Sus scrofa: one gene and its partners. The protein of the gene in region 2 purifies or fractionates together with the protein of the main gene of each other region. This does not show direct contact. Links are inferred from orthologs where the notes say so. Each region holds a gene or a part of one and is shown on either strand. Other genes may lie near its edges. The genes, in order: KPNA1, NCBP2, KPNA2, PHAX and KPNA3.

The links.
Region 1: the proteins of NCBP2 (region 2) and KPNA1 purify together in Homo sapiens (affinity purification with mass spectrometry; 3 studies listed by BioGRID and IntAct, with this or other methods). This does not show direct contact. The link is inferred for Sus scrofa from reciprocal best matches to the Homo sapiens genes NCBP2 and KPNA1.
Region 3: the proteins of NCBP2 (region 2) and KPNA2 purify together in Homo sapiens (affinity purification with mass spectrometry; 4 studies listed by BioGRID and IntAct, with this or other methods). This does not show direct contact. The link is inferred for Sus scrofa from reciprocal best matches to the Homo sapiens genes NCBP2 and KPNA2.
Region 4: the proteins of NCBP2 (region 2) and PHAX purify together in Homo sapiens (affinity purification with mass spectrometry; 5 studies listed by BioGRID and IntAct, with this or other methods). This does not show direct contact. The link is inferred for Sus scrofa from reciprocal best matches to the Homo sapiens genes NCBP2 and PHAX.
Region 5: the proteins of NCBP2 (region 2) and KPNA3 purify together in Homo sapiens (co-immunoprecipitation; 3 studies listed by BioGRID and IntAct, with this or other methods). This does not show direct contact. The link is inferred for Sus scrofa from reciprocal best matches to the Homo sapiens genes NCBP2 and KPNA3.

Annotation. Positions count from the first base shown.
Region 1 is NC_010455.5:138,082,598-138,087,177, forward strand, and holds part of KPNA1 (importin subunit alpha-5), read left to right. Parts: intron 1-107; coding exon 108-196; intron 197-533; coding exon 534-633; intron 634-1,426; coding exon 1,427-1,590; intron 1,591-3,061; coding exon 3,062-3,140; intron 3,141-4,580. UniProt on the Homo sapiens protein: Functions in nuclear protein import as an adapter protein for nuclear receptor KPNB1. Binds specifically and directly to substrates containing either a simple or bipartite NLS motif.
Region 2 is NC_010455.5:133,183,369-133,187,948, forward strand, and holds part of NCBP2 (nuclear cap-binding protein subunit 2), read left to right. Parts: intron 1-3,031; coding exon 3,032-3,213; intron 3,214-4,580. UniProt on the Homo sapiens protein: Component of the cap-binding complex (CBC), which binds co-transcriptionally to the 5' cap of pre-mRNAs and is involved in various processes such as pre-mRNA splicing, translation regulation, nonsense-mediated mRNA decay, RNA-mediated gene silencing (RNAi) by microRNAs (miRNAs) and mRNA export.
Region 3 is NC_010454.4:14,292,324-14,297,561, forward strand, and holds the end of KPNA2 (importin subunit alpha-1), read left to right. Parts: coding exon 1-177; intron 178-397; coding exon 398-580; intron 581-2,753; coding exon 2,754-2,903; intron 2,904-4,076; coding exon 4,077-4,169; 3' UTR 4,170-4,426; downstream 4,427-5,238.
Region 4 is NC_010444.4:129,716,083-129,720,662, forward strand, and holds part of PHAX (phosphorylated adapter RNA export protein), read left to right. Parts: intron 1-3,194; coding exon 3,195-3,315; intron 3,316-4,580. UniProt on the Homo sapiens protein: A phosphoprotein adapter involved in the XPO1-mediated U snRNA export from the nucleus.
Region 5 is NC_010453.5:18,010,105-18,014,684, forward strand, and holds part of KPNA3 (importin subunit alpha-3), read left to right. Parts: intron 1-1,617; coding exon 1,618-1,704; intron 1,705-2,069; coding exon 2,070-2,239; intron 2,240-4,557; coding exon 4,558-4,580. UniProt on the Homo sapiens protein: Functions in nuclear protein import as an adapter protein for nuclear receptor KPNB1. Binds specifically and directly to substrates containing either a simple or bipartite NLS motif.

The DNA of each region.
Region 1 (4,580 bases), about 4.9 Mb from region 2:
GTGAACTTAGGGATATTAATAGATAATGTCCATGAATAATATATGTTGATTAACTACTATATGAGAAAAACTCTGCAGCCTGACATTAATGAATAATTCTTTCACAGGCAGTCTGGGCCCTTGGCAACATTGCTGGAGATAGTACCATGTGCAGGGACTATGTCTTAGACTGCAATATTCTTCCTCCTCTTTTGCAGTAAGTCTCTTTCTTTTTATTTTTTATGAGTAATAAAAATAAGAGAAGTTCCTGAAAAAGCAGAACATCGTTGGAAATCACTTTGAATTTCCTAGTGTTACTTTTCATTATAGATATTTTCTTATGAACTTGTTTGGATCAGCCATCAGGCATCCTGTTATTCCAGTGCCAGAATTCTGAGTTCCTTGTGTTAGAATTAATTAAACTTTATTGTTCTGGAGAAGAGCTATTTGAAGACATCTGTTTATCAATAGCATTAAATGATAGATATTTGTATTATGCCATTAGATAATTCATTTCCATTATATCATTTACTATTGTATCATCATACTTACAGATTATTTTCAAAGCAAAACCGCCTGACCATGACCCGGAATGCAGTATGGGCTTTGTCTAATCTCTGTAGAGGGAAAAGTCCACCTCCAGAATTTGCAAAGGTAGGGATTATGCTTATGAGAAATAATTTTTGATAAAATTTAAAATGTTAGAATTTTATTTCTAAAAAAAGTTTTTTTTGTTGCATGTTTTAATTTGGAATAAATTTTCACTGCCTCTAAAAAAAGTTCTGAATTAATCTTAAAATCTGGCATTTTTTTCTTCATAACAAAGTAGCTAAAATGCAGAATTTCCTAGCTTTAGCCCTTATGAAAATTCCTCTACCTCTGGTTCACAAAGAGTGTGTTTTGACAAGGAGTCTCACTCTGAGAACTGGTATATATAAAACTTGCTCTTTAAAATTATTTTCCTTGGAGTTCCTGTCATGGCTCAGTGGTAACAAACCCGACAAGTGTCCATGAGAACACAGGTCTGATCCCTGGTCTCGCTCAGTGGGTTAAGGATCTGGTGTTGCCCTGAGTTGTGGTATAGGTCACAGGTGCAGCTCGGATCCCTTGCTGTGGCTGTGGCGTAGGCCGGCAGCTACGGCTCTGATTCAACCCCTAGCCTAGAAACTTCAATATGCTACAGGTCTGGCCCTAAAAAGACAACCCCCCCCAAAAAAATTGTTTTCCTTGGGCTCTGATCACCTCATCAAAGTAAATTGCAAGGTCATTGACAGCACTCCCAAAGATGGAAATGTCACTTGGCCACTTATTACTCCCATTTCCAGAAGTACTAAAAAGTCATCCCCAAAATCACCAGGTGTGTGCCAGGTTGCCTTCTGGAGTTTCCCACCTCACTTCTTGCTTTTAGTCTGTTGAATTCCATAACCATATCATCTTCCCTTTACAGGTTTCCCCCTGTCTGAATGTGCTTTCCTGGTTGCTCTTTGTCAGTGACACTGATGTATTGGCTGATGCCTGCTGGGCTCTGTCTTATCTATCAGATGGGCCCAATGATAAAATTCAAGCAGTCATTGATGCAGGAGTATGTAGGAGACTGGTGGAACTGCTGATGTAAGAAATCTTTAAGAAATTGTATCTGTTCTTTTGTCTCTCATATTAATTTCCTAGTTAATGATACTCAAATGTTAATATGTTATGCTGACTTAATGTGCTTTGGGCTGCTGTCTTATTTGTTTATATTCATGTTAAATGATGTCTGATTGCTTTGAGGGTTATAAAGAACCTTTTACTCTTCTGCTATTTAGCAGCCCTTCAGTAGAAACATTTTGAAAACTCTGGTCTATATTTCTAGCTAATGCTTAAAGACCTGAGTCCAACCACTGAATAACCAAAGGCTTGTTGCCATTAAAAACAGTAATTCCTTATCTTTTGTCTCATTTAGAGCTAAACTTAGACTGGTATCAGACTTTGAATTTTATTTTGCTGTATCTCTTTGTGATGCCTTTCATTTATGAAGTGGAAGATTTACTGATGGCATAAATAATTTGAGACTGTATTAGTCAAATTTTTAGGAAATACTATAGAAGAAAAAATTACAGTGGTAACGTAATAGGGATGTGGTACAATTGCAAGCCATGTCTCATTTAATTAAGTACTAAGTAGATGCAAGAAAGCATTGCCCCAAAGATGATGTGTGGAATGGATTAGGTAGTATAATATACAGAATATAAAACTCTGGGACTACAGCTGGGCACAGAGTGGGTACAGATTAATGATATAATGCTGTTGTGAATTAAAAGCAGTGTGGTACTGGAGGAGTCAGAAGTATAGCATTCACAATTGGAGAAGTAATCTTATGTCCTCTTCTGTCATTAGATACCATATATTTTAACCATTTTATTTTTAGTCATCAGTTCTTAAATGTGAAGAAACTGGCAGTTTTGAGAAGAGTTATCAATCTCCTTAAAGGGGATAGAAGATTTTTAAGGAAATTTAAAAGATAGTAACTTATTTAGCCTGAAATCAAAACCTGATGTCTCTCTTCAGATGTATAAAAGATTTGTGGAGGAGTTTTTCAGACCAGTAAGTCAGTTGAGGTTTAGTAGCAAGTTCACTGCTCAAAGTGTATGAAGCCTGGCTTTCGTTTTCAAGTTAGTTCAACTGTTGCCATATTTTTTATTTCTGTGAAAATTGTGATTTTTGAAACTAAAGTTCTATATAAATGTTAACTATTGTTTTCAATTATCTCATCAACTGTAGAGTCCAAGTAAAGAGGAAATGAAAACCTACATTAAAGAATGAGAGGGAAAGCTTGAAATCTAAATGATAGAATACCTGGGAAAGATTATTGGGACAGTTTTGTAGTTTTTACCCAAAAATACTAAGTAAAGGGAAAGACAGCCTTTCCTAGGGATATAAAGAACATTTCATCATCATGATAGTGTTCCCTTAATAACCACCATAAGTACCTTTCTGCTCCAAGATTCTAATGGATTTCTTTATTATTATTATTATTTCTTTTGGATTTCAACCCTAAGGAAAAGAAACTATAGAACTATAATGTTTCTTTTTATAATTACAGGCATAATGATTATAAAGTCGTTTCTCCTGCTTTGCGGGCTGTGGGAAACATTGTCACAGGCGATGATATTCAGACACAGGTAGGAATAAACAGTAACTTTTTTTTCTCTTTAGAAATAAGTAGTGCATTGGCTCCCATGATTATATTTCTGTTATAGTATTTAATTCCATATTATTGGAGGGAATCGATACTTTGTTTCATTCATGTTTGTTTAAAATGTTGGTTTAAGCAGTTACTTTCAGTACTTTCACTGTGTTTGTCTTGACCTGTTGCTTGTAGCACTTTTGGGTTCCCCTATGGTCCCATTTGGGTTCCACTATTGTGTTCATTTTGGTTAGGTTTGTTTCTCACTACTTCTACCTTTAAGTGGTTCTTGTGAGCATCAGAAGTCTCTAGTAGCATCCTTTCATGCCAGCTTCATCTCATCTTCCCTGAAAGTTTCCTCCTTTTTTTTTGCGTATGTGGGGAGGATCTTCCCTATTTGTTCTCAATGTCACCCTCTACTCCATTCAACATTTATGTCAAGATACATCACTCACAATGGATTGTTCTAGCTCTTTTTCTTCCTTATCTCTCAGATACATTGGCATCATCTTTTAAAATGATTTTCCTAGGCTTCTGTGGTGTTGAAATATTTTGGGTCACTTGCCTCAATGACCATTTATTTCTCCTTAGTAAGCTCCTTTTATTCATTCTTTTCTGTTTATGGGATTATCCCATGGAAAGGGTTAGGTTTTAATCTTTCAGTGCTTTTCTTTCTTTCTTTCTTTTTTTTTTTTTTTTTGTCTTTTGTCTTTTTAGGACTATACCTGCGGCATATGGAAGTTTCCAGGCTAGGGGTCCAGTCAGAGCTGTAGCTGCTGGCCTGTGCTACAACCACAGCAACACAAGATCTGAGCCACGTCTACAACCTATATTACAACTCATGGCAATGCTGGATCCTTAACCCACTGAGCGAGGCCAGGTATCGAACCTGCATCCTCACGGATACAGTCGAGTTTGTTACTGCTGAGCCACGATGGGAACACCCTCTTTAGTGCTTTCTTAACCAGCTAATAGCTTTTGGGCAAGAAAGACATTTAATGTCTTCACTTTTCTAATCTCTAAAATTAAGGGGACTGAATTTGTTCTCAGGTGTCTTCCAACTCTTAGTATTTACTTTAAATTTATTCTGTCCACAAGGGAACTCATTGTTTTTCTGGCGTATCTGGACCTCTGCTTATTTACGTTCCTCTCTCATTGAATGGCACCAATAGTTGCCCAAGCCAAAAACCTGGACATTAGCTTGATTCTTCTCTTTCCTCCACCTTTTCTGTCAGTCACTGTCTACCATCTCTGCTCATTCCTTGCAGTGCTTCATTTAGGCTTTTTTTGTACCATTGCTATATCACCAGAGGGATACTTGTAAAATGCAAGTTTGTTCATATCATTCTCTTGAAATCTTTTTATGTCCTCCTTTTGTCCTTAGACAGTGTTTAAAATCCTTTAAAATCTGGTACCAATATAATGGAACGCTATG
Region 2 (4,580 bases):
GCTCCCTGTTCCCCGGCCGATGCAGATGGGCGGCTGTAGTAGCGGTAGCTCACATTTTCACAAACTGTGACTTTGCGATGAGGGGAAGGGGTATTCTTTTGATATGTGGAGCGTGTGAAGGCACCTTCTTGACTGAGATACCGGGGCTTTTAATTATTTACCTTAAATTAGATCAGCCTAACTGTGCTTTGGTGTTTCGCATCCATTCCCTTGGGCAGTAAAACGGCCTCACAGAGTTGTACCTGGTGGGTGGGAGACAGAGTTGAGCCTTGCCTCCACCTTTAGGGAGCCCTCCGAGTGGACCATCATGTTAGGTGTCTGATTGTCAAGATTAGAGAACTGCTGAGGGAAATTTTCGGTTGGCCCACATCATAGCAGATTCTGTGGGAAGGGGGAGGCTGCGGGTTTTTAAGGTGAGGTCTTCAGTATCAAAAAAGGTGGGGGTGGGGTGAAGGCGCCACTTATTAACTGTTGGTTATTTGAAAAGTTTATATTGTACTGTTGCTGAAGCCTTTTGCTAAACTCTGGAGGGAGAGGGAAGAGTTTCCACACCCTAAGAGTTCATAATCCTCTAGGGTTTATAGGATTGTAAATGGAAGGACGGTGGAAGTGTAGGGATTTACAGTGGAGGCAGGTAGTCTAGAGCAGAAATGATGAATGGAAAGAGAGGGGCTGTGAGAATTCAGAAAATTCTCCTGTGACTGGGAAAGGAGTGGGCACATAAAGAAGAGGGTAGGTGTGGAGAATGTTTAAAATGTGTTAGTAGGCTAGGGAAACAGGAAATTTGAGGCCAATATCATACCTTAAATAAGTACTTACACTACAGCTATCTTAATTTAAATAAGTACACTACAGTTGTCTTAATTGTAGGCTCTATGTTGGGATACTACTTATATGAAAAGAAAGGAATATGCCTCTTGATCATAATTTTAACAAGTCGGTAATATAAAGTAGTAATATAAATTATTTAATTCTCATTTCAAAGTCCTGAAAAAACCTATTTTTAACATAGAATGATTCCTGTCAACTTTTTAAGGAAATAGGGTATTGAAGACTGGGTTTGGATTCCAGCTACAACTACTGATGAGCTGTGTGACTTGGACAAGTTACTTAGCTCTTTCCTCATGCAGAATGAGAATAGTAAATTAGGACCTACCTCATTCAGCTCTGAGAAGTAAATGAGACTTCATACATGGCAATCTGACCTGTAGTCTCTTGATTCTCCCTAGAGGCAAACGTATTACCTGTCTCTTATGTATGGTAGCTGGGTACATTTATACTTCTAAGAAATATAACTCAGAGCATGTCCTTCACATTGTTCTGTGCCTCCCCCCCCCACTTTGCTCCCTATCTTGGAGATGCTCTGTATCATTGCAGTAGAAATACATTTTTCTAGGGGTTGTATAGTTTTATACTTATTGATGTACCACAATCTTTCATCATTTTCCTTTTGACATGAGTTTAGATGGTTCCTGTTTTTGGTCTACCACTGAATGGGATCACCGAATGAGATTACTCTGAGTCTTGTGCTAAAAGCGTTCAGAGATGGATGCAAAATCTTTTTTTTTTTTTTTTTTTTTCTTTTTAGGGCCATACCTGCCGCATATGGAGGTTCCCAGGCTAGGCGTCGAGTTGGAGCTACAGGTGCTGGCCTACACCACAGGCCACAGCAACTCAGGACACAAGCCTTGTCTGCGACCTATACCTCTACTCACAGCAAAGCTGGATCCTTAACCTGCTGAGTGAGGCTAGGGATCGAACCCACAACCTCATGGTTACTAGTTGGATTGTTTCCACCACGCCACAACGGGAACTCTGCAAAATCTTATTTTCAGAGTAAAGGAAACTGGATTATCATTATATATGGAATAATAAGGGGAGCCTCTTGGGAAAGTGCTGTGGGGCAAAGAGTGTGGATCTACTTAGCTACTTTCCAAGCTAGAATATAGTTGATGTATAGTTGATGATTGAGCCCTAACCTGGATCAGAGGGGCCTGAGAGCAGGTCAGCTGGTAGACCTTCTATTTTTTTTTTTTTTTTTGTCTTTTTGCTATTTCTTTGGGCCGCTTCCGCGGCATATGGAGGTTCCCAGGCTAGGGGTCCAATCGGAGCTGTAGCCACCAGCCTACGCCAGAGCCACAGCAACGCAGGATCCGAGCCGCGTCTGCAACCTACACCATAGCTCACGGCAACGCCAAATCGTTAACCCACTGAGCAAGGGCAGGGACCGAACCCGCAACCTCATGGTTCCTAGTCGGATTCGTTAACCACTGCGCCACGACGGGAACTCCTAGACCTCCTATTTAATCAGCCTTTGTCCTCCCCATTGTGGAGGCTAGAAGAGAAGGTCTAAGGACAGCCATACTTACTGACTTTTGTGACGGTAGGTAAGATACTGTGTCTAGCCCATGCTAAGCCATTTTGTCCCCAAGGATTGTCAGACACAGGACAGGATTGTTACACACCTGTCCTTGGCTTCATCCTGTCTTCCAAATTAGGAAGCCTGTCAAGATAGTAAGATCTGTTGTTTTTGGTGATCACTACATTTTCTCCTAAATGCAAAAAATATATAAGAGCATGTAAATCATCCAGTCAGTTGTTGCTCTGAACATTCTCTATAGGAGTATATAGGGAATACCCTATCTCTAACCATTTATTTTTCACTAAAGAAAATAAAAAGGTCATTTCTAGTATATTGGTTCAAGGTCCTGAAATTAAACTTGGGCCATTAGAGAAGGATCCAGTGCTGAGAATATGGAGAATGCAGGCAAAAATCATACCACTTGTGTTGGAGAAGGAGGGCTGTATATAACCTTAAGCTGTGGCCCTCTACTAAAAGCAGTCTGGGCCTTGCAAAAGTTCTTCTTAGAATCTAACACCCTTGGCAAGGGATGATTGAGAGTTGGGATGATTAAGAAAAACTGATTTCCAAATCAGAATTAATGACAGTTTTCCCATACTTAGGAATTCTACTTAAGCACGGCTCTCCTTAGATTGTGTTACTTAGCTTTTTCTCCATTTGAATTTCTAGGGTGACAATGAAGAACAGGAGAAGTTACTGAAGAAAAGCTGTACATTGTATGTTGGAAATCTTTCCTTTTATACAACTGAAGAACAAATCTATGAACTCTTCAGCAAAAGTGGTGACATAAAGAAAATCATCATGGGCCTGGATAAAATGAAGAAAACAGCGTGTGGGTTTTGCTTTGTGGAGTATCCTTCCTGTGTGTCTATAGATGGCGGCCAGCAGTGGGCCCGAGTGTAGCAGTGTAGCGGGTTACATAAGTGAGAATATTCACTAATTAGCATCTGACACTTATCTCTACCTCTCCTTCCTTCATCTACTCTTACCTCCAGTGTATCTGTATTCTTATATTAGGAAAGCTGGTAACATTTATATTCTGTTCTGAAATCCATGCTTTGTTTGTAGTTGATTAAGTCTTTTTTTTGCTTTTTGCTTTCTAGGGCTGCACTTGTGGCTTTTGGAAGTTCTCAGGCTAGGGGTAGAATTGGAGATACAGCTGCTGGCCTATGCCACAGCCACAGCAATGCCAAATCAAGCTGTATCTGCAGCCTATACCATAGTTCACATGGCAACACCAGATCCTTTAATTCACTGAGTGAGGCCTGGGATCAAACCTCCATCCTCTTGGACACCCAGGTTTGTTACCACTGAGCCACAAGGGGAACTCCTGATGTTTTTGTTTTTTTTAATTAATATTTCCTTTTTGGGTCATTTTGTTTGAGAAATTTCCCAGACCTGATCTAACATGTCTTTTGAATTTTCTGTGCCTTGAATTGTTTGTTTGGTGTTTTGTTTTTGTCTGTTTTATCTTTTTAGGGCTACACCTGTAGCACATGGAAATATGGAAGTTCCTGAGCTGGGGTCAAATCAGAGCTGTAGCTGCCTGGCCTACGCCATAGCAGCACAGGATCCAAGCAGGTCTGTGACCTACTCCATAGCTCACATCAATGCCGGATCCTTAACCCACTGATCCGAACTGGTGTCCTCATGAATTCTAGTCAGGTTTGTTATCACTGAGCTGCAGGGAAATGGGAATCCTGGAAGAGGGACGTCGAGGTATAACAACCACAAGGCTCTTACATTTAGAAAGTGGGGGACCACGAGGCTAGTGTTCGCAGAACAAAGCAAAGGCACCTAGGCTTTAGCCCACATCTTTTTATTAAAGAAGGTGATGAAATTATTATTGATGGGATTAATGAATGTGACAAGATTAGTGGGCAGGGACAGCAATGGCTGAGGTTATCTAATTTGTAATATCAAAAGGGGATATCCTTAGGACATAATGTAGCTGTTTATAGAATAACATAGTTAATGCATAAGTCCTTCATCTTGTTTTTGAAAGAGACTCTACTTTAAAACTCTGAGTCCAGGAGTTCCTGTTGTGGCACAGTGGTTAACAAATCCGACTAGGAACCGTGAGGTTGTGGGTTCGATTCCTGGCCTTGCTCAGTGGGTTAATGATCCAGAGTTGCCGTGGTGTAGGTCACAGAAGCTGTGGCTCTGTAGGTTGCTGTGGCTCTGGTGTAGACCAGTGGCTACAGCTCAGATTAGACCC
Region 3 (5,238 bases), on a different chromosome or scaffold from region 2:
GTTGTCATAGATGCAGGAGCACTCGCCGTCTTTCCCAGCCTGCTAACAAACTCCAAAACAAATATTCAGAAGGAGGCTACGTGGACAATGTCAAATATTACAGCTGGTCGCCAGGACCAGATACAGCAAGTTGTAAATCATGGATTGGTCCCATTCCTTGTTGGCGTTCTCTCGAAGGTAAGAAGCCTTAGGCCTTCATAAAGGATTGCTTCCAGAGGCCACTTGGTAGAACTGTACTTCATAAGGTTCTTAATGTACTAATGTTAGGTCCTACTTATAGTCTTTTGCTAAATAATAGTCAGATGGTAGTTTTAGTCACTATTTTTCTAAAAGAGTACTTTTGGAATCTTATTTTTATGCCCATTCTGAAATACACCTGTTTTCTTGTGTTTATTAGGCAGACTTTAAGACACAAAAGGAAGCTGTATGGGCTGTGACCAATTACACAAGTGGTGGAACAGTTGAACAGATCGTGTACCTTGTCCACTGTGGCATAATAGAACCATTGATGAACCTCTTAACTGCAAAAGATACCAAAATTATCCTGGTTATTCTGGATGCCATTTCTAATATCTTTCAGGTAAGTTGCCTTTTTTTTTTTTTTGGCCACACCCTTGGCATGCAGAAATTCACAGGTCAGGGATCAAAGCTTAGCCTCAAAAGTGATGACACTAGAGGTTTGGTGGGTTTTTTTTGTTTTTTGGTCTTTTTTTAGGGCCGCACCGGTGGCATATGGAGGTTCTTAGGCTAGGGGTCGAATTGGAGCTGTAGCTGCCAGCCTCCATCACAGCTCATGGCAACGCCAGATCCTTAATCCACTGAGCGAGGCCAGGGATCAAACCTTTGTCCTCATGGATGTTAATCAGGTTCGTTTCCGCTGAGCCATGGTGGGAATTCCCTGGTTTACTATTTAGATGATGGCAAGGTGGGGGTGGAGGCAGCTAAATTTCCTGAGTGGGCCACAGAATCAGAAAGCCTCTTCATATGAGCCACACTCTTGATAAAATAAGACCTGGCAAGGATTATAAGAGATATAAAAGGAATGACAAATGCATGATGTGACTGAATTGAGGTCAGGTACATATGTGGACACGATTCATATCTGTTTATTTTGTCAAGATGTCTTAATCCCCCAGTTTTTGTTTTTTGGTTTTTTTTTTTGGTCTTTTGTCTTTTTAGGGCCGCACTGGCAGCATATGGAGGTTGCCACGCTGGGGGTCGAATCAGAGCTGTAGCCACTGGCCTACACCAGAGCCACAGCAACATCAGATCCAAGCTGCGTCTGCGACCTACAACACAGCTCACAGCAACGCCAGATCTTTAACCCACTGAGTGAGGCCAGGGATTGAACCCAAAACCTTATGGTTCCTAGTCAGATTTGTTTTCTGCTGTGCCATGACAGGAACTCCTGATTCCCCAATTTCATACTGTAATTCAGTATGAAATTAAATTTGACCAACCAGGAGTTCCTGTCGTGGCTTGGTGGTTAACGAATCCAACTGGGAACCACGAGGTTGCGGGTTTGATCCTTGGCTCGCTCAGTGGGCTAAGGATCCATCGTTGCCATGAACTGTGGTGTAGGTCACAGACGCGGCTCGGATCCTGCGTTGCTGTGGCTCTGGTGTAGGCTGGCGGCTACAGCTCCTATTAGACCCCTAGCCTGGGAATCTCCATATGCTGCAGGTGCAGCCCTAGAAAAGGCAAAAAGAAAAAAAAAAATTCGAACGACCCGGTCAGTTATATTTTTCTTCTGGTTTCAAGCCCTGAGTGATCCACATGTGCTGGCACATGGCACTTTGTCAGTATTTAATGGTGGTTAGGTCTTACTCAACAACTTTGATTATGGAAATTTTCACATATCAAAGTTGAGTTTAGAATATGATTACCTAACATAAATAAGTCGGCAACATTTGGCTTCTTTTCCTACTCACACTTACCTTAAGTTTTTATTTTGAAGCAAATACGTTATTTTACTTGTAAATATTTATGTATGTCCTAAAAGTTGAGGACTTTGAAAAGTATCTGACCACCGTACCATTCTCTTGGTATCAACAAATGATCCAGTCAGAGGAATTTGTTTTTACAAACCACAGGCCATCTTTACCCTTGGACAGTGATTCTCCACTCTTACTACATACACCTTGGGATTATCTGGAGTCTTTACAAAACAGTAATTTCCTATTCCCATCACAGGCCAACTGAACCTGGATATAGTGTCATTTTTAAAGTTGCCTGGGTGATTTTGATGTACAGAAAAGGTTAAGAACTATACTAAGATCTTTGTGGCTGAAAGCTACAGAAGTAGTTGCTAAGAAGCAAAATCTGATTCGCTTGAATTTTTCAAAAATATAAAACATAGGTAAAATGCAGATAGTTCTCTCTCATAGGGTTGTTAAATAAACTCACGTGTTTATTTCTGTCTGATACACATGGACACTAAAACATAGAAATTGTTTTCTTCATTAAAATAGAACTTTCAGGGAGTTCCCGTCATGGCACAGTGGAAATGAATCCAACTAGGAATCATGAGGTTTGGGGTTCGATCCCTGGCCTTGCTCAGTGGGTTAAGGATCTGGTGTTGCTGTGGCTGTGGTGTAGGCCGGCGGCTACAGCTCCATTAGACCCCTAGCCTGGGAACCTCCATGTGCTGCAGTTGCGGCCTTATAAAGACAAAAAGACCAAAAAAAAAAAAAAAAAAAAAAAAAAAAAAGGTCTTTCAAAGTGTAGGCTACTAAACTTGGAATTTTTTGCAGGCTGCTGAGAAACTAGGTGAAACTGAGAAACTTAGTATAATGATTGAAGAATGTGGAGGTCTGGACAAAATTGAAGCTCTCCAAAACCATGAAAATGAGTCTGTGTACAAAGCTTCATTAAACTTGATTGAGAAGTATTTCTCTGTGGAGGTGAGTAGCAATGTCAATAAGAACTGGAAAAATACACATTTAAGGTTAAGCCCATAAGATATTTTTCCTCATACTTTTTAGATGAGCGCTGTTCAGTATAGCAGTATATCATATCAGTCTCAAGTGGGGTATAACATACATATTTGTTCATCTCATGTTTGACTTGAAGATAATACCATCTTTTTAAACTGAGGTATTAAAAAGTCACCCATTTACTTTCAAATGAATAGCCTTAGAGAGCTTAGACTATCTTGAGAGTGAGTTTGTATAGACGTTAGAGAAGTGAGCCTCTGGCCTAATAAGCTGCCTTCTGAAGTGACAGGTTAAGAAAATCTCTGCTTTTCTGTTGCCGTAGTAGCATTTCTTAACCTGTTCATAACTTCCCTCCCAGGCACTCATGAGTTGGCAAGTTTCAGAGCTTTCCATCCACTCTTTCAGATATTGAAAATATGGCGCAGGATTACAAAAGACAAAACAAAGGGGGGAGTTCCCATCTTGGTGCAGTGGAAATGAATCCGACTAGGAACCATGAGGTTTCAGATTCAATCCCTGACCTCACCCAGTGGGTTAAGGATCTGGTGTTGCCGTGAGCTGTGGTGTAGGTCAGAGACGCAGCTCAGATCTGACATTGCTATGGCTCTGGCGTAGGCTGCTGGCAACAACTCCGATTAGACCTCTAGCCTGGGAACCTCCATATGCCGAGGGTGCAGCCCTAAAAAGACAAGAGACGGAAAAAAAAAAAGATACAATGCAGGATTAAAGGTGAAATATGCAAATGAGGACCTTAGGAGTGAATACCTAGTAGGTATTTATGCTAAGTGAAATGAGTTAGACAAATACCACCAGGTGATCTCTCTTATATGTGTGATGTTAAAAACACACACACGGAGTTCCCCTGTGGCTAAGCAGGTTAAGGATCCTCTATTGGTGCTTCTGTGGTGCAGGTTCTATCCCTGGCCCAGGAACTTCCAAATGCTGCAGTCATTGCCATGGCCAAAAAGAAACATGCACACAAGAACAGATTTGTGGTTGCCAAAAGTGGGGGTGGGAGACATGGGTAAACTGGTTTTCGTTTTCAGCTTAGAGATAAAAGAAGAAAAAAGAGTAAATACAAACTTGTAGGCATCTGCCTCTTAGAAACATTTTATATTGTTTTGTTTTTAAATACTCCAGGAAGAGGAAGATCAAAATGTTGTGCCAGAAACTACCTCTGAAGGATATACATTCCAAGTTCAGGACAGCGCTACTGGGACCTTCAACTTTTAGACTGCACATCTGAGGCATAAAGTTGTTTGTTGCGTACTATGTTTGATAAAAGTTGGTCTTACTGTTTCTCTACTAAGAGCTCTTTTTAAATGTGGTTTGTTATTGTAGCACTTTTTACAACTGAAACTATACTTGAACAGTTCCAAACTGTACATACTGTATGAAGCTTCTACTCTCAGTAGGGTTCTTATTTCTATGTGGAATTTCATATCTTGCAGTGTCCTGTAAATAAAGATTAAATTCCACCCTTTTCTTTACTTTGCATTTCCTATGTGTTGCTTTCTAGTTTGGGGCTCCTAAAGGTTATAGATGAGGGGGAACTGAACCATGACTACCAAAGATGTTCTGGTTGCAGACATCATTTTGTCATGTCATCAAGGATATGGGCTTGATAACTTCCTGCCCACTTTTGATTCTGCTTTGTTTTTTTTTTATGGAACGCTTCACGAATTTGCGTGTCATCCTTGCGCAGGGGCCATGCTAATCTCTGTATCTTTCCCATTTTAGTATATGTGCTGCCGAAGCGAGCACTGATTGATTCTGCTTTGTTCTAAACTGCTTCCCCTTTTGGTTGGTAAAAATGGCCAATGGCGCTTTCAGACTTCACATCCATTTCACACCTATCAATTTTTTCAGAAGTTTTCACTGGAGAACGAGTAAAATTTCCCAGAAACCCTCAGCCAGTGTCTCCATAAGTCTTACTGGCCAGGAAGATGGGATAAAAATCTTAAATTTCATCTTCATTTTTTCCTGGAGCTACAAGTGCAATTCATTCCTCCCAAACTTCAAGGCTGAAAGTGGTTTCAAGGCTGCACGTTGGCATCACCTGGGAAAGTTTAGTCGGGAAGGAGTGGGATTCAAGTCCTGTAGGTTCTGTTTTTTAATTTCATCCCTGTCTGTGCCGTCTGGGTTGCGAAAGCCACTTGCTGCTCGGAAGAGGTAGCTGTGCCATTAGCAGAAGTGGCAGGGGGAGGGTGGAGTATTGACTCCAGCGCCCCAGGAAACCAACTGCATTTTTAACGTACTGTAAGCCTCTGCTTTTTTGATGAGCGGAGAAGTGATGAGCCAA
Region 4 (4,580 bases), on a different chromosome or scaffold from region 2:
TGAGCACTTGACCAACTCTCTTCCATTTGTAGGGAATTACATGGATTCCAAGTATCTTGATGATGGGTGTTCCTTTTTGAGATTTTAAAATTCAAGGCGTGAACACTGAGCTTACATGGTTATATGCATATATTTGGGTGTTTTTAAATTTGGACAGACCTGATAGAATAATTTTGCAGGTTTTTATAAACTTTTTGGCAACTTTTTCCACTTAGTGCAATAGAACTCTTTGAGTAAGACACGTCTCTCTTTTTTTTTTTTTGCCCTGCCTTTGTCCTATGCCAGTTCCCAGGGCAGGGATCTTTAATGCCTCCTCCACCGGGGGAACGCCCAAAAATGCATCACTGATTTTAAATCAGTGAGGATGTTGGAGTGTTATCAAGCATTCATGACTTTTTTTTAAAAAAAAACAACTTCATTGAGGAATATTATAGATAATTGAGTTGTAGCCTCTCTTCCTTCTGGTGTCTGCTCCCCTTGTGGCTGAAGTTGGTGGGGGGCAGGGCTTGCTGTAGGCTTCCTGATGGGAGGGACTGATGCCGCCCACTGGTAGGTGGAGCTGATTCCTATCCCTCCGGTGGGTGGGGCTTTGTCTCTGGGTGGATTAGAGGCGGCTGTGTGCTGGGGGGGTCTTTAGGCAGCCCGTTTACTGATGGGCGGGGCTTTGATCCCACCGGGATTGTTGTTTGCTCTGGGACTTCTCAGTGCTGATGGGTGGGGCCAGATTTTCCCAAAATGGCCACCTCCAGAGAAAGGCAAGTTGCTGAATATTCCCGAGAGCTTTGCTTCCAGTGCCCTTCCCCCACAACAAACCACATTCACCCGTGTTTTCCCAGGAGGTCCTCCAAGAACTGCAGTCAGGTTAGACCCAGATTCCCGTGGAGACTTTGCTTTGCCCTGGGACCCAGTGCACGTGGAAGTCTGTGTGCGCCTTTTAAGAGTGGGGTCTCTGTTTCCCCCAGTCCCGTGGAGCTCCTGCGCACAAGCCCCACTGGCCTTCAATGCCAGATGCTCCAGGGGCTATTTCTCCCTGTGCCAGATCCCCACACGTGAGGGTTTGATGTGGGGCTCAGAACTCTCACTCCTGTAGGTGAGTCTCTGTGAAACAGTTACTTTCCAGTCTGTGGGGCTTCCCACCCGGGAGGTATGGGGTTGCTTATATCGTGTAATCGCCCCTCCTGCCTCTTGATGTGGCCTCCTCTTTGTCTCCTGGAGTAGGATATCTTTTTGAAAGTTTCCAGTCCGTTTGGTTGAAGATTGCTCAGTATTTGGTTGTAAATTTTGTTGTTTTTAGAAGAGAAGTTGTGTTCCAGTCCTTCTGTTCTGCCGTCTTAATCCTGTCTCCCCATCTGAGGCATATTACGGTACTTCTGATAAAATTCACCTATTTCAAGTGTTGATTTTTCAGTAATTTTACCAGTTGTACAACCATTACCATAAAGCATTTGAAAACATCTCCATTACCTGCTAAGATCCCTTATACTTATGAGCCCATTTAAAATTAGTTCCTGTTCCCATTCCCACATATCTGCTAATCTACTTTCTGTTGCTATCTATCAGTTTGCATTTTTCAGAAATTTCATGTTAATGGAATCACAGTGTCATCTCTTGTGCCTACCTGATTTCACTTAGTGCAGTGTTTTTGAAATTCGTCCATGTTATAGCAGGAATCAACAGTTTATTTGTGTGCGCATACACCCACACATCCATATTGGCTATTGAACTTTTTGGTAATCATAAATAATGTTGTTAGGAACTTTCATGTACTCATGTATGGATATATATGTTCATTTCTTTTGGCTAAATAGGAGTATAGTTGTTTGATGTGTGGTAAATTTACATTTCATGTATTTTTAAAAGTTGAAATTTTGTTTACTTTTGGGGGGGCACTCCCCACATCATGTGGAAGTTCCCAGGCCAGGGATTGAACCCTTGCCACAGCAGCTACCCGAACGACTGCAGTGACAACGCCAGATCCGTAATCCACTGCGCTGCTAGGAGAACTCCTAGTGCTGGCTTTTTATAGTACTGAGAGAGTTTGGAATTTGAATGCTGGAAAGGAACTTAGAGATTTTGTAAACCAAAGCCTTCACCTTTTTTTTTTTTTTTTTTTGGCTTTATTTAGGGCCACACCTGTGGCATAGGAGGTTCCCAGGCTAGCGATCTAATCGGTGCTACAGCTGCCGGCCTACACCACGGCTCACGGCAACGCCGGTTGGTTAACCCACTGATCAAGGCCAGGGATCAAACCGGAAACCTCATAGTTCCTAGTCGGATTCGTTTGTGCTGCACCACGACGGGAACTCCAAAAGCCTTCACTTTACAAATACAAAACTGAGGCCCAGTAGTTGTGTGGTTGCTCAAAGTCACAAATTTAGTAAGTGTCAGACCTGGAACTAAACTCTAGTCCCTTTGTTCCTAGTCTAGTGCTCTTTCCACAATAGCAAAGAAACAAAAGAAGCCATGGCTGGTTAGGACTGATTAGGGAACCGTTAAGACTTCAGTAATTTTAATCCTCCCTCATCTCTATGGAATATGGGCTCTAGTGCTTACTTAGGGTCCTTGTGTTTTTTACCTCTCATTGCTAAAATGAAAATAGTATCTGCTTTGTAAGGTTCTTGAGAGAATTAGCTGAGATGTAATGCATATATATAGTTCCTAGGATTGTGCTTATCCCATAATAAGCCTTTGGTAAATGTTAACTATATCATTTGTTTTAAGGCAGGGAGGCTGTGAGAGACAAATCCAATCCATTTTAAAGATCCAGGTCATCTCTGCAGTTAGGAGAGCTAACTTCTAGGCATAATAATCAAAAGCGTGATATGATCGAAAGCGTTTGTTATTTGTTGTGATGCGAGTGGACTGCTTATATCTTGCTTTTCGTCTCGTATTCCCCTTGCTGTGTGTGCATGTTTCTTTTGAAATCTGCCATAATCCAATAAGGCAAAGTGAAGAGGCCAGTTATCGGACCTGAGATGGAACCTTGAGGCTCCTCTTTTCTTGGGTGACCCAAGACAGGAATGTTTCTGTATCAGTAATTCCAGGGTTAAATAGTGAAGATTTTGAAAAGCAGCCATTACGAGATTGGAATGTTAATTCTAGCTGGGAACTAAATAGGAGACTAAAGTAGATGTCCTCAACTTTATACAACAAGTAACATAGTTAATATTATTACTTCATTTGCTCCTTAACAGGTTGCAGGAACCAAAGAAAGATTTGATCGCCCGAGTAGTGAGGATAATTGGGAACAAAAAGGCGATTGAACTTCTGATGGAGACTGCTGAAGTTGAACAAAATGGTGGCCTTTTTATAATGGTAAGACTAATTGCTTCGTTGTTTCTGATTTTGTATTATTTCGTATCTTTTTTTAATAAAATGCACTTGTCTCTATTGGGTCTCTTATTTATAAATTATTGCAGTTTTTTTCGGGTTTTTTAAAAACTTCATTAATAATGAAAAATTTGAGTTTAAAAATTCAGTAGTCAGTTTTTGCAGTTAATGCTTTCCTTACAAAAACATGCATATATTGTAGCCTGTTAGTGTGCAGTCAGCAACAAATCTCTCACAGGATGCATTAAGGGTAGGGGTTGAAATTTTAAGAAAAAAGTGGTGGGTGGGGGGGTGAGACCTGGAAGCTCAAATTTTGAGAATATGGCGTTTGGAGTTTGGGGTGTCTTGTTTTGAATTTTGGATGTGCAGATTACTAGATGTGACATTTGGCTAAATTAGTTGACTTCTCAGAACTCAGTCTCAGCTACAAAATGGGATTGTTCTTCTATTGTAAGGATTTAATGAGATAATGTATATAAAGTACGTATCACAGTGCCCAGAAGTTAATTAGCAGTGATGAATAAAAACGTTATTTTTGGTTCATTTAATTCATGAATTCTTGAAAACTGGTTCTTGGGGGCAGAAAAAAAATCTTGCTATGTAAAAAGCACAGATAGTTTTTTGTTTTGTTTTGTTTTGTTTGCTTTTTAGGGCAGCACCTGTAGCACATGGAGATTCCCAGGCTAGGGGTTGAATCAGAGCTACAGCTGTCAGCCTACATACACCACAGCCACAGCAACACAGGATGCAAGCCATGTCTGCAACCTGCACCACATCTCATGGCAACACCAGATCCTTAACCCACTGAGCAAGGCCAGGGATCAAACCCGTATCCTCATAGGTCCTAGTCGGGTTCGTTAACCGCAGAGCCAGGAAGGGAGCTCTATGTGCAGACAGATATAAAGTATAATAAGACCAGTGAGATAATGGAAATCTACTGAATGTTGGGAAGATACAAGTCTGATTTTACTTTCTTTTGGTGCAGTTTTTCCTTATACAGTTATTTATTGCTATGTACGATGCAGTGTTCTAGACACAGGAAGCTTATGTTGTAGTTGGGTGTGAGAGGGGAATAGTCCATAAAGAATAAATGTTGTATCTTCAGGAGTGCTAAAAAGTGACAGATGCTGGGAGGAAAGAAAGCGAGCAAATGAAAGTATAGCGAGTAGAGGAGGACACTGCAGTTAAACTGGGGGTGGTCACAGTAGATCCTAATAGCTCCTTGGGGAAGACTCTAAAAGTTGCTTTGG
Region 5 (4,580 bases), on a different chromosome or scaffold from region 2:
GAAGAGAGAGAGAGAGAAAGAAACAAAGAAAGAAAGAAAAGAAAGATAGATTCTGTTCCTAAGTGCTGAGTAGCTTACCACTTATGAAATAGCAGTAAGTTTCATTGAATCAGGTAGTAAGAATCTCTTTCTTTCACTTTTGTTTCAGATATTTCAGTAATGTCAAAGAAAAGGTTTCTAGGTAGATGTTAGTTGTAAAAGAAAGGGAACAGATTTTAGACTAAGGCTTTCAATAGAGACTAGTAGGTACCATTAAATAACAATATTTTGTTTTCATTTTTAATTTTTTGGTTATTTTCCTTGTGTGGTAATTGATACTGGTATTCTGTTACAGAAGTGATGACTAAAATTAGTTAAAATACAAATATTAGTCGATTCAAACCTTCATACATTGCTGGTGGGAATGTAAAATAGTTCAGCCTTTTTAGAAAACAGTTTATCAAATGGTTAATCATAGAGTTACCACATGACCCCAGCAGTTCCCCTACTATGTGAAACTAAGAAATCTGAAAGCAGGTCCATATAAAGACTTGTACAGAAATGTTTTCAGCAGCATTACTCATCATAGCCCCCAAATGGAAATAACCCCAGTGTCCATTAGCTGATGAGTAGTAAACAAAATGTGATATACCATAGAATACTACTCAGCAATAAAAAAGAACAAAATGTGATATGCGCCATAATGTAGATGAACTGCAAAATCATTATTCCAAGCGAAAGAATCCAAACTACGTCTTATAAAATTTCATTAATATGAAATGTCCAGAATAGAAAAATCTATAGAGGCAGAAAGAGTAAGTGGTTGCCTAGAACTGGGGGAGAGAGTCTTAGGACTATTGTGGGTATGGGATTTCTTGGGGCAGGGGTGGTGTGATGGAAATGTTGTAAAATTAGATTGTGGTGATGACTACACAACCCTGTATAAATACTAAAAATCATTAAATTATACACTTAAAACAGACATTGTATTGCATGTAAATTATATCTCAGTAAAGCTATTAAAATGAGTCTATTTTAATTTAAACATTAAATAATACAGGTAGTATAGAGATAAACAGCTAAAAGTCCTACAGGTAGTATACAGTTGACTCAAATTTAAGAAAATTTAAGAAAAAGTGATCTAACTTTTTCTTAATTTCATATCTGAAGTGAGTACGATACCAATGTTTTGGAATTTGAATTAACATGTAAGTTATGTAAAGACTAAGTATTATAATGATAAGTTGTCTTGATACATAAAGTAGGCTTGATGTGGGAATACTCAGTTCTTTATAGTTAGTCCCCTATCAGCAATAGGGATCACACTGACTAGAAGTATTATATTCTAAGATTACATGTTCAGGATAGAAACTTTTTTTTAATATGTTATAAGAAAAATTTCATGCTGCTGTTTTCTTTTAATTAATACTATCATAGTAACTTTTAGACCCTCTCAATAGGTCTATTACTTGAATATTATTAGGGGAAATATAGAATTTATTTAGGATAAAGGTATTTGCCATGTTTATTCATTCAGTGAATTATAATTGGGCAGCTGTGGTGTGCCAAACTCTGCTGAAATCTATAAACTCTTCAACATTTTGCCGTATAAATAAGAGGTTTTTTTTTTTATTGTAGATGCCGTACCTCTTTTTCTAAGACTTCTTCATTCACCGCATCAGAATGTTTGTGAACAAGCAGTATGGGCTTTGGGAAATATTATAGGTAAGTTGCATTTAGGTTTGAAAAGACTCCACTTAAGTATCTTAATTAACTTTTTTCCTACATTGGCATAGCCATTACACACTATGTTTCCTCTAATTTTAACGTGGGTTGACTATCTTCTTGCCTCATTAATACTAACTTCAGATGGTACCTCTTTGAAATGGATATGAAATTTGCTATCAGGATTGGTAGGTTAAATTTGTGTTCCCCAAATCAAAATCTGGCGGAACAGCAGTGCTTGATGCCCTTGACTAATGGTGAGGAAACATAGAACATCAGTGTCCCGACATGAGCCATTGCATACATTTCAGACTTTCTCATCCTGAATGTAATTTTTTTTTTAAATACAATTTTCATTTCTGTAGGTGATGGTCCTCAATGTAGAGATTATGTCATATCACTGGGAGTTGTCAAACCTCTTCTGTCCTTCATCAATCCCTCCATTCCCATCACCTTCCTTCGGAACGTCACATGGGTCATTGTCAATCTCTGCAGGAATAAGGACCCCCCACCGCCTATGGAGACAGTTCAGGAGGTAAATGAAGAATTGCAAAGGCCAGATGGTATATTTTCCCTATGTTTATGCTTTAGATTTTCATGCACAGGAAATGAAATAATGCAAACACTGATTCCATTGCAGGTATGAGATTTTTTAAAGTAACGTGTCACACTTAACTTTTGCCTCCTGTGAAATACAAGTTGAGACTTGTGGCACCCGAATAAATGTCAGTCCACCCTAATTCAGGAAAACATAAAAAAATTCAAGCAGAAAAATGCCAAAGAAAATAAAATGTCAACATTTTATTGCTACATTGCATTGTTTTGTTGTTGTTGGCTTTTTTTTTTTCTTTTTCTTTTCTTTTTTAGGGCTGCAGGTGCAGCATATGGAAGTTCCCAGGCTAGGGGTCGAATCAGCTGTAGGTGCTGGCCACAGCCACATCTGCAACCTACACCACGGCTCATAGATCCTTGAGCCACTGAGCGAGGCCAGGGATCAAACCCACATCCTCATGGATACCAGTCAGATTTGTTACCACTGCACCACAACAGGAACGCCACACTGTTGATTTTTAACACTAAAAAAAACAAGGGATTGCTACAGATAAAATGATGAACTTAAATGTTCATGAGTGAGTTTGCCTGAAGTCCAATTGAAATTTCCCTTGATTCCTGACAAAATTAGTGCTCGTGATGTGTGACCTGCTTTGTGTTAAATATACGGATTAAAACAAAATAAAATCTTTTCTATTTACACCTGATTTGTAAATGGATCTAAGTATGTTAAGTTTCAAAAAATCCTGTATAGCCTTTAATCGCTTGACTGTAGAGAATGTTGATTATGAATCTTTAATCTTTTTTTTTTTTTTTTTGGTCTTTTGTCCTTTTAGGGCCATACCCGTGACATATGGAGGGTTCCCAGGCTAGGGGTCCAATCAGAGCGTTACTGCTGACCTGCACCACAGCCACAGCAACGCCAGATGTGAGCCGAGTCTGTGACCTACACCACAGCTCACGGCGATGCCGGATCCTTAACCCACTGAGCAAGGCCAGAGATTGAACATACAAGCTCATGCTTCCTAGTCGGATTCATTTCCACTGCACCACAATGGGAACTTCTGAATCTTTCATCTTTATCGTTTTGACATCTTTTGCCTTCTTGGGCCACCTTTTGCCTTTAAGGGAAGGGTACTTAGTAATTCCTTCCAGTTCCACCCCACCCCCACCCCCCAGATTTAAAGAAAGATCTGTAATGCCTGAATTCAGCAAACTTTATACTGGTCATAATTTTCTTGACTAAATCTGAGGTCTGAAACTTTAATTTGACTCACGTAGCGTCTTAAGATCTTATTTTTAGGAGTTCCCGTTGTGGCTCAGTGGTTAATGAATCCGACTAGGAACCATGAGGTTGCAGGTTCGATCCCTGGTCTTGCTCAGTGGGTTAAGGAGGATCCGGCGTTGCCGCCGTGAGCTGTGGTGTAGGTCGCAGACATGGCTTGGATCTCGCATTGCTGTGGCTCTGGTGTAGGCCGGTGGCTATAGCTCCGATTCAACCCCTAGCCTGGGAACCTCCATATGCCACGGGAGTGGCCCAAAAAAAATGGCAAAAAGACAAAAAAAAAAAAAGATCTTATTTTTACTTTATGCAGGTAAGTGAGACATTGACAGCAGTTTTAAGAATAGCTTTTTAGGAGTTCCCGTCGTGGCGCAGTGGTTAACGAATCCGACTAGGAACCATGAGGTTGCGGGTTCGATCCCTGCCCTTGCTCAGTGGGTTAACAATCTGGCGTTGCCGTGAGTTGTGGTGTAGGTTGCAGACGCGGCTTGGATCCCGAGTTGCTGTGGCTCTGGCGTAGGCCGGTGGCTACAGCTCCGATTCAATCCCTAGCCTAGGAACCTCCTTATGCCGCGGGAGCGGCCCAAGAAATAGCAACAACAACAACAACAACAAAAAAGACAAAAATAAAAATAAATAAATAAATAAATAAAATTAGAAAGAATTAAAAAAAAAAAAAGAATAGCTTTTTAAAAATAGCTGTGCGTATAGTTACATTTTCATTCTTTCCAGTTGGCGTATTTCATATAGAAGATTATTGAAAACAATTATTTTTCCTCTAAGAGACATTAATCTCTGCCAGATTTTAATTAGACATCTGAAATTTGGTTTTGGTTTTTCAGATTGAATTTAGCAGATTTTTATTTTCCCAATAGAGATTCACACAAATTTAATGTTGTTTTTCTTGCCCTGCAAATAATATTTATTGCTTAAAAAAAAAAACAAAAACCACTGTTATTCAGTTTTACAAAGACATCTTCATCAACTCTAGTTGTTACTTGTCTATCTTCTTTCCTCAGATTTTACCAGCATTATGTGTCCT